Arabidopsis thaliana: one gene and its partner. The protein of the gene in region 1 interacts with the protein of each later gene in a pairwise test. Each region holds a gene or a part of one and is shown in the gene's direction. Other genes may lie near its edges. The genes, in order: AT2G23830 and VAMP721.

Region 1 (4,024 bases):
TATGATGGATCTGTGTGGAGATAGCTTGAAACGTTTCGTGCTTAATGGATTGTATTGGAATGTATAGTGGATTGTTACGGAAATGAAACATTGTCAAGCTTGGCTGCATCTGTTGACGGATTGTAGAATTCGTTTAGGGGAATGAAATGATTTCAAGTTTATGTGATTAATGGTCTGTGATTACTAAATCCTTGAAGATGTGAAGTTTGTCATGTGTTTTACTTTTTTGTGAATCAAGTGAGTTTTTGTTTGCTGATTTAACGATAGAGTTTGTGTGCTGTATCGTTTGGTAAACCATCTTTTTATATCAAATAGACAACTCCAAGAGCTGGATGGATTAAGAGAGATGTGAAAGATCCAGAATCTATAGCGGATCACATGTATCGGATGGGTCTTATGGCTCTAATTTCTTCAGATATCCCCGGTGTTAACAGAGACAAGTAAGTTTCTTGCTTGCTTCTCTCTTTTCAAGTTTCAACTGCTGTGAAAAAACTCTTCTTATATACATACTTTTCTTTCTATAGATGCATGAAAATGGCGATTGTTCATGATATTGCAGAAGGTTAGTTCTTTCACTTTTAGAGATTTTTAATCATCGATTTTCTTAATCACGAGTTATTTAGTCGAGTTGTTGTTGAGCAGCCATTGTAGGAGACATTACACCTTCTTGTGGGATATCTAAAGAAGAGAAAAACCGAAGAGAAAGCGAAGCACTTGAGCACATGTGCAAACTCTTGGGTGGAGGCGAAAGAGGTCTGTTTCTCTTCTATTGTTGAAATACCTTATGTATCTTCGTTCGACCTTCTTATGCTCATTTGTATAACACTTATCATCACTTCTAAAAATGTATATATCGTAATTGCAGCAAAAGAAATCGCTGAGCTTTGGAGAGAATACGAAGAGAACTCTTCACCTGAAGCCAAAGTTGTTAAAGATTTCGATAAAGTTGAGCTGATACTACAAGCTTTGGAATATGAACAAGGTAATGAATGACCAATAAAAGAAACTCTCTTTCGATAAGAGATTTAGCAGAAACTAATACTCATATTGTTTTTTGTTTGCTATTTAACGCAGATCAAGGGAAAGATCTAGAAGAGTTTTTCCAATCAACAGCAGGTAATTTTTGTTGTATGTCATTATACTCTAAATAGATAATCTGAATATGGTTGAAGGCTTTAAGCTTGTTACTGTTTGATTCAGGGAAGTTCCAGACTAATATAGGCAAGGCTTGGGCGTCGGAGATTGTTTCAAGAAGACGAAAGCAACATTAGTTCTCACTTGACTCTTTCTTTTTGTTTCTTAACGTCTAGCTCAGTGGAGTTCAAATACTCGTACGTTTCAAATTTAATCATCTTAAGGTTTTTCTAATAATCTTCGTAGCTGTCTTTACTTGTTTTGTTACTATCACTAATAAAAGATAGCTAGCTAGTGACTATCTTATAGATAGCTAATGAAGATCAAAAAACTTAATCAAGCTCTTAAATTTTATTTTAAGAAAGTATCATTGGTTCCTCAATATAAATTTTCGGATCGTTAATAGAGGTCAAATGATTTTTCTTTGTTTTGTTTTGTTTCAAGATTTTGCACGGGTTAAAAGTTGAATAAGAATAACGAATAGAGTATAGACACTTCATAAAGTGTAGTTTCCCTGCCACACTTAGATCTCCTACTAACCTCACTTAGATTAGATTTCTCTCTAGTCTAAAAGTCTTTAAACCTTTTACCATTGGGTTTCACAAAATTAACATTAGTAGTTATGTCTTTTCTTTTTAAAAACATATTTTAGAATAAACCATATCTCCAACCGAAAACTCCAAACTCTCTCCGACGCTTATCCGCATAGTTCTTTTGTCGATTTTGAGCTTCTTTTATCTTAACCTTTAAGATTTTGATTTTTTCCGATGTTCATGTTATTAACCACAAGTCTACAATTAAATTATTATATTTTTTTAAAAATGATTCTTGCGCGAGAAGCTACTTAGTGGACTCGGAAGGAGAAGGGAAATTGGTAGAGGTTTTAATTTGCAAAACTTATAATAATATAATAGTAGTAGTCGTAACAAATGGTTTAGCTGATTATTCAACATGGAACTTTTCAAAGAATGTTTCAGTTTTAGTTGAACAGACAATTTTTACCCTTGTCGTAACAAGACAAATAACGATTTTTCCGACTCTCTTCATTCGATCTCTCTCCCTCTCCCTCTCTCGATCGGAAAAGTTTGAATCTCCGGCGATCTTCTCAAGATGAGTAACAACGAGCTTCTCGAAATCGAGCCTATGTATCTTCAATTCCCTTGTAAGTTTTTTTTTTGACTTTTTCTTGTTTTCCCTGATTTTGCATGTCTTTCTTGTCCATAACCAGATTTTGTTGAGTTATGGTTTACTATTAAATTTCGCTATTCACTTGGCTGAGTTGATGTAGTTGAATTGAAGAAGCAGATGTCTTGCTCTCTTTACTTGACGAACAAGACAGACAATAACGTGGCCTTTAAGGTAAAACAAAGTTTTCCGAGTCATTAAATTGTCGTGATTATCTCGTGTTTCTAAGGTTTCTCGTGATTCTCTTTATTTTATTTGAGGTTAAGACGACAAATCGGAACAACTATTGCGTTAGGCCTAATTATGGACTTATTCTTCCAAAGTCGACTTGTAAAGTTCTTGGTCCGTTCTCTAATCGTTTTCTTGGGGAAACTTTTTTTCCCCCTTCAACTGCCAAACTTGTTCTTGGACTAGGAATTTGATGAATCTTTATTTGTTGTTTGTCTAGTGACCATGCAAGCTCAAAAGGAAGTTCCTTCTGATATGCAGAGCTTTGAAAAGTTTATGATTCAAAGTGTACTGGCTAGTCCTGGAGTCACAGCCAAAGAAGTTACTCGTGAGATGGTACTGATTCACATTGTTGATTTGATGAATAATTCACACTTTGGCTTTTGGTTCCTTAAAGCATTTGTTTCGTTTTTTTCTGATGAGCAACTTTGCAGTTTAGCAAAGAATCAGGGCATGTAGTTGAGGAGACTAAACTGAGAGTTACTTATGTTTGCTCCACCACGACCAACATCACTAGTTCACCAAGGACTAGAAGAGGGTTTATATTTCAGTGTTTTTGTTAGACATTTTCTCTTTACTTCATTGACGATATTCATCACCAGTAACACTCTTAGCGATGTCTCTTGCTATGGCGTTTGGAGCTGCTTGCCACGAGCTCGTAATAGCGGCTGGTAAAACTCGATTGATTCTGTACAGTAATTTGTTTGTAAAATAATTATGAGACCCAGTTTACTTTGTATATAATGCACTAAAATCTAAACATCACTGACCATCTATATAATCATATCCTTATAGCTCAAACCTTTGAAATTCAAATAAAATAACACATATCTTAGATAGGCGTGGGCATTCGGGTACCCGTTCGGGTTCGGTTCTTTTTTTCCGGGTATCGGGTCTATTCGGGTAAGAGGTTGAGAACCATTCGGGTATTCTAAAAATTCAGTTCGGTTTCGGTTCGGTTTCGGGTCGGTTCGGTTATTTTAGTAAAAATGTAAAAATAACCAAAAATACCCAAAATATTTTTGGGTTCGGGTTGGATTCGGGTTTTTTACTCATATATACCCAAATCTACCCGAAATACCCGATTGCCCGTAAATATATTTGTTACTTTTTATACAAATATAACCAAATGTAAACAAAATACTTAAATTACCTAAAAGAAAACTATAACATTTGTTACTTTTATCCCAAATATATCCAAATGTATATGAATTACTAAAAGAATCTAGTATAATCGGATTTATAATTTTAATTTTGGGTGTTTGAGGTATTACAAATATATATATAACTAATATATTTAGGTTACATTTGTATTCGGGTACCCACGGGTATTAGATTCGGTTCGGGTTCGGTTCGAGTTTTTTCGGGTAGTGAAGTCGAGGACCCATTCAGGTTATTCTAAAAATCGGATTCAGATTCGGTTTGGTTATTTTTCGGGTTTTTCGGTTCGGATATTCGGTTCCGGGTATTATGCCCA
Region 2 (4,654 bases), on another chromosome or scaffold:
TTGCTAATCTCCTCAGGATGATCCGCACAGTACTGCATGTGCTCCTTCAATTTAGACCTACATTCATTACAACAAAACCATTTAAAACACACATCCACAAAGATGGAATTGAAAAGAAATGCTCTGACTAAAAATGTTAAAAGTACCCGAATTCTTTGTTCAAGCTGTTGGCTTTAGCAGTGGAAGCTTTTCCACCACCGTATCTCTTGTTGAAATCCTCCTTGACTCTCTCCAAGAAAGCCATTGGTATCTGCCTCCCAGCAGATTCAATAACAACAACACAATAGGCTGCATAACAACAGAGGGAAATGAGAAATCTTATTGTCACATTCCAACTAAAGCAAATTCGTGCATTGGACAACCAAAGCTTTCCAAACATAAAAATCTTCACAATAAACATTCCAAAGAAGCCATGCATAAAGCTGATTAAAATCAGAACGAAAACAACAGATTGCATATCCAATCAAGACATGGCATTGATTAGAAGAAAATCTGAATATAACACAATGCCACAAGAATCGAGAGCAACGAATATCCTACGAAATTCAAAGCTACACTGTTCTCGAACATTTGATTTCGAAACTAAGCATTCATAAGAAAACAGATGAACCAAGGCATAAACAGAGAAATACAGAGCAAAATCGACACAGATCGGGAGATAGAGACTTACTGAAGCCATTATCAGCGAGATAATTGAAAGTGTGACCGTCGCAATTGTAGGTAAATTTGTTGTTCGAGGACGGAAGTTTCTGGAGACACTGAGCGGCGACGGAGGTGAAATTGCCCTTGAACTCGGTATACTCGGCGAGGATCACCGTACCGCGAGCGACGAAGCTGTAGATCAACGATTGTTGTCCCATTCTTCCTTTTATCCAGATGAGAGAAAGATAAAAAAACGAAACCTAAGAACACCACAAAAATCCGATCGAATTGATGAGAGAGATTAGTAAGCGATGTAAAAATACACAAGGGAACGAGGGGTAGCGATGGAGAAAGCAGGACGCAGAGATCGGAGAAGAGAAACTATATGAGAGCGCTGGATTTGCGCGAGTAACAGAGACATTATTTTCCCTTTGGTAACGTTCAAATTTTGAATTTTTAAATATAAAAAGTAAATAAAAAGAAAAATTCATCATTTGTATAGTCGAAAATTGCCTTAATAAACTTTATTTTGGTAAATAATTCACGTCTAATTAATAATAGTATCTTCATGTTTTTACACCACGGTGGCTCGTTTTTCAATTCAAATGTGAAATGTTTATCAATGAGCATTTTAAAAAACAAATATATATATATATATATATATTATATATTGATTTTTTATAAAGAAAATTGCGATGTGTAAGGGATATTTGAGTTGTTAAATTTTCTATAAATTATATGTTATGTTACTTAAAAGAACGTTCAATTGATAATGTTGCAAACCTTCCTACCAAAAAAATTAAAATAATGTTGCAAACCTTTTCTTTCATTCCAATTCACTAACCTTCTATTCTAACCACAACCTAACTACCTAAATTTCAATTATTTGATTGTTGATCAAAATCTTTAGGAACACGTTAAACAAATTAATTAGCAGGTTCTAAACAATGCAGAGCAATTGTAGATGACAAGAGATAACGGTAGAAGTTCGAATTTTGTTGCTGTAACAAGATACTATGACTATGAGCTCCCCCCGTCCATTAAGAATTAAGAAATTTGGTTAATTACAACATTTGTTTTTATGTTTAAGCCTTTTGTTCGTAACTGAGCTAATACTGGAATCACTGATCAATGATGAATTTGGAAAAAAAGATATTTTGAGGAAGACAGAGACAGACTCTCTTCGACCATGGGACCTGAACTTGTCCTAAAGTTGGTAATTACTAATTTGTGCCATCGGCAGAGTCCACGAGCTTTTTGGCTGGATCCGGGCGGGTCCAACTTTCTCGACATTTGTTTGATCTCTCCGTTTTGAAATTGTTTTTTTTTAGTCCTTAAATTCAAGGTTTTATACTATTTTTGACCCAATCTGACTACCTTAAATGACAACTTTACCCTTGCCCGCTTTTCAACTTTTTCTTCTCCCATGTCCACTTTAGTCCTCGTTTTGTTCTTTCATAGTCTTCTAGATCTGTAGTTTTTTTCCGCGACCGCCCAAAAAATTCTCTGATCAGACGGTCGATTGGATCGGAGATTTAAGGTAAAGAAAAAATGGCGCAACAATCGTTGATCTACAGTTTCGTAGCTCGCGGCACGGTGATCCTCGTTGAGTTCACTGATTTCAAAGGTAATTTCACCTCAATCGCTGCTCAGTGCCTCCAGAAGCTTCCGTCTTCGAACAACAAGTTCACCTACAACTGCGACGGTCATACCTTCAATTACCTTGTCGAAGATGGATTCAGTAAGTCACTTTTCGTTTGATCTATGCATAGGTTTTAATCTTACACCATTCGGTGCTTACCTCGATTTGTTTCTAGGTTTATTTGCCTAACCTATCGATTCGTATGGATTTGTGCATCCTGAGTAGTCTGATTTCACTGAGGAACCGCATGAACCAAGCTTTTAGGGTTAGATCTATATTTATTAAACGCAATAAATCTCTGTAGAGTCTTACCTGTATAATCACTCAGATTTGGACAGAATCCGTGGTAGCTTTGGTTGATACTATGTGGAAGAACACCAACATTGATCTGAGACAGGGTTTTTACTGGTTGCTTTATTTGCGTATAGTTTCCTAGGTCATGGGTTTTGGCTGGCTTCATTTTTCAATGAAAATCTGGGGTCTTATTGTAAGCTTTTGTGACTATCCTTTAGTTGTTGTAGCCATATCAATTTCATATTAAATCAATGTCACCTGATTATCCCGTAAGGGAAGACAAGGAGATTGATTTTGTTCCTGTTGTACAGCCTATTGTGTTGTTGCGGTTGATTCTGCTGGGAGGCAAATTCCCATGTCCTTTTTGGAAAGAGTAAAAGAAGATTTTAACAAGCGATATGGTGGTGGAAAGGCTGCAACTGCTCAAGCAAACAGCTTGAATAAGGAGTTTGGGTACTTTTTCATTATCTCTTCTATTTGGATGATCTTCTCTTTTATATTCGTGGACTGACTCTTTTTGGTAACTTTGAAGCTCTAAACTGAAAGAGCATATGCAGTATTGCATGGATCATCCTGATGAGATTAGCAAGCTTGCTAAGGTGAAGGCGCAAGTGTCAGAAGTTAAGGGTGTAATGATGGAAAACATTGAGAAGGTTTGAATCTGACCCTTTCTGTCCTCAATGTATATATTTACATCTATGGTTGACCCATCTGAAAGAGCTCATCTAGTCATACTAAGTTACTGTGAAATCAATTACTAATAATTCAATGCATTACATCTTACGGGAAATGTCCAGTTTACCAATGTAACACCGCTTACATATGCGACTCATTATTTGCAGGTTCTTGACCGTGGTGAGAAAATTGAGCTTTTGGTGGACAAAACCGAAAATCTTCGCTCACAGGTTAGACTCTCTCATACCCTTATCTCCTGCATCTATTTGCCTACACTCACACACAAAGATGAACATGCTTTTTGAGTTCATAGCTGACTCATCCTATTACCATATCTTGTGTCTAACTGAACTCAAACTGCCACAGGCACAAGATTTCAGAACAACAGGAACGCAGATGAGAAGAAAGATGTGGCTTCAGAACATGAAGATAAAACTCATAGTGCTCGCCATCATTATCGCACTGATTCTCATCATCGTGCTCTCAGTTTGCCATGGGTTTAAGTGTTAAGCCCAGAAAATTCAAAACTTCTGAGATCTTTCTCACTCGGTACATCGTAGTGCCTTCTCTTTTATTGTTCGATCTTCAATCTAATGTTTCTGCTTGAATTGGTTTTGTATAGATAGACATATATGTATGCTACTCATTTGCTATATTGCTTGCATCTGATGACATTGATCCCTTGCGAACCAGTCAGTACTTGACAAGAGATCCGAAACTATTAAATGATTTTGTTGACTGAAGATTGCATTGTGGTGGTGATGATAAAAATTTGAGATTGTATTGACGATTATACGGCGTGATGTGTGCTGGTTACTTTAAATTTAGATAAGAGTAGTGCCCTCTCTATATCGTTACTAGGGATGGTAGTACATATATATACGTACGTCATATTCCGACCACCAAGGTTGTTTTGTTCAAACTCCTCCCGCAACGCTTGAGTAGATCTTGTCGGCCATCGGGTCGTTTATGAGTTCAAACATACGTGTTTACTCTGCTATCAGTAGGAGCAACCAATACAGAGTTTAGTAGTACATACAGAAGCATCTTGTCAAGAAACAACAATCTGTAGTCACAATGGTATAAATATTTGGGCTATTTTAGTTAAGTGGGCCGAATATTTAATGGGCCGTAAAACCTAATTTGAGATCCTGCAACCAAAACTTTCCCGCTAAAACACTCTCATTCCCGCTCAAGCTCACACCAGATTCCGATTTTCACTTTTGTTCACCGAGCACCAAATCCCAACAAAATTCCGATACGGTCAATCATATCAGAGAATGGAATTCGATATCCCATTGCCGGAGGAGCTTGAGCTTCTAGAAGCCAATTCTCATTTCTACGAAGAAGAAGATGAGTACCTAAACTTTGAGGAGCCGCCATATCCTTACCCAATCGACG

What was found.
Region 2: the proteins of AT2G23830 (region 1) and VAMP721 interact in a two-hybrid assay, tested with the Arabidopsis thaliana proteins (one study listed by BioGRID).

Annotation. Positions count from the first base shown.
Region 1 is NC_003071.7:10,141,402-10,145,425, forward strand, and holds AT2G23830 (PapD-like superfamily protein), read left to right. Parts: upstream 1-2,066; 5' UTR 2,067-2,244; coding exon 2,245-2,296; intron 2,297-2,422; coding exon 2,423-2,493; intron 2,494-2,579; coding exon 2,580-2,661; intron 2,662-2,767; coding exon 2,768-2,883; intron 2,884-2,981; coding exon 2,982-3,110; 3' UTR 3,111-3,313; downstream 3,314-4,024. Other genes in the region: AT2G23820 (Metal-dependent phosphohydrolase), read left to right, coding at 316-440, 525-562, 643-753, 866-982, 1,075-1,116, 1,201-1,271. UniProt on the Arabidopsis thaliana protein: May play a role in vesicle trafficking.
Region 2 is NC_003070.9:1,330,966-1,335,619, reverse strand, and holds VAMP721 (vesicle-associated membrane protein 721), read left to right. Parts: upstream 1-1,968; 5' UTR 1,969-2,193; coding exon 2,194-2,383; exon of another isoform or gene 2,384-2,889; coding exon 2,890-3,031; intron 3,032-3,110; coding exon 3,111-3,231; intron 3,232-3,420; coding exon 3,421-3,483; intron 3,484-3,619; coding exon 3,620-3,763; 3' UTR 3,764-4,154; downstream 4,155-4,654. Other genes in the region: VAMP726 (vesicle-associated membrane protein 726), read right to left, coding at 1-57, 147-288, 671-860; CTF18 (P-loop containing nucleoside triphosphate hydrolases superfamily protein), read left to right, coding at 4,534-4,654. UniProt on the Arabidopsis thaliana protein: Involved in the targeting and/or fusion of transport vesicles to their target membrane.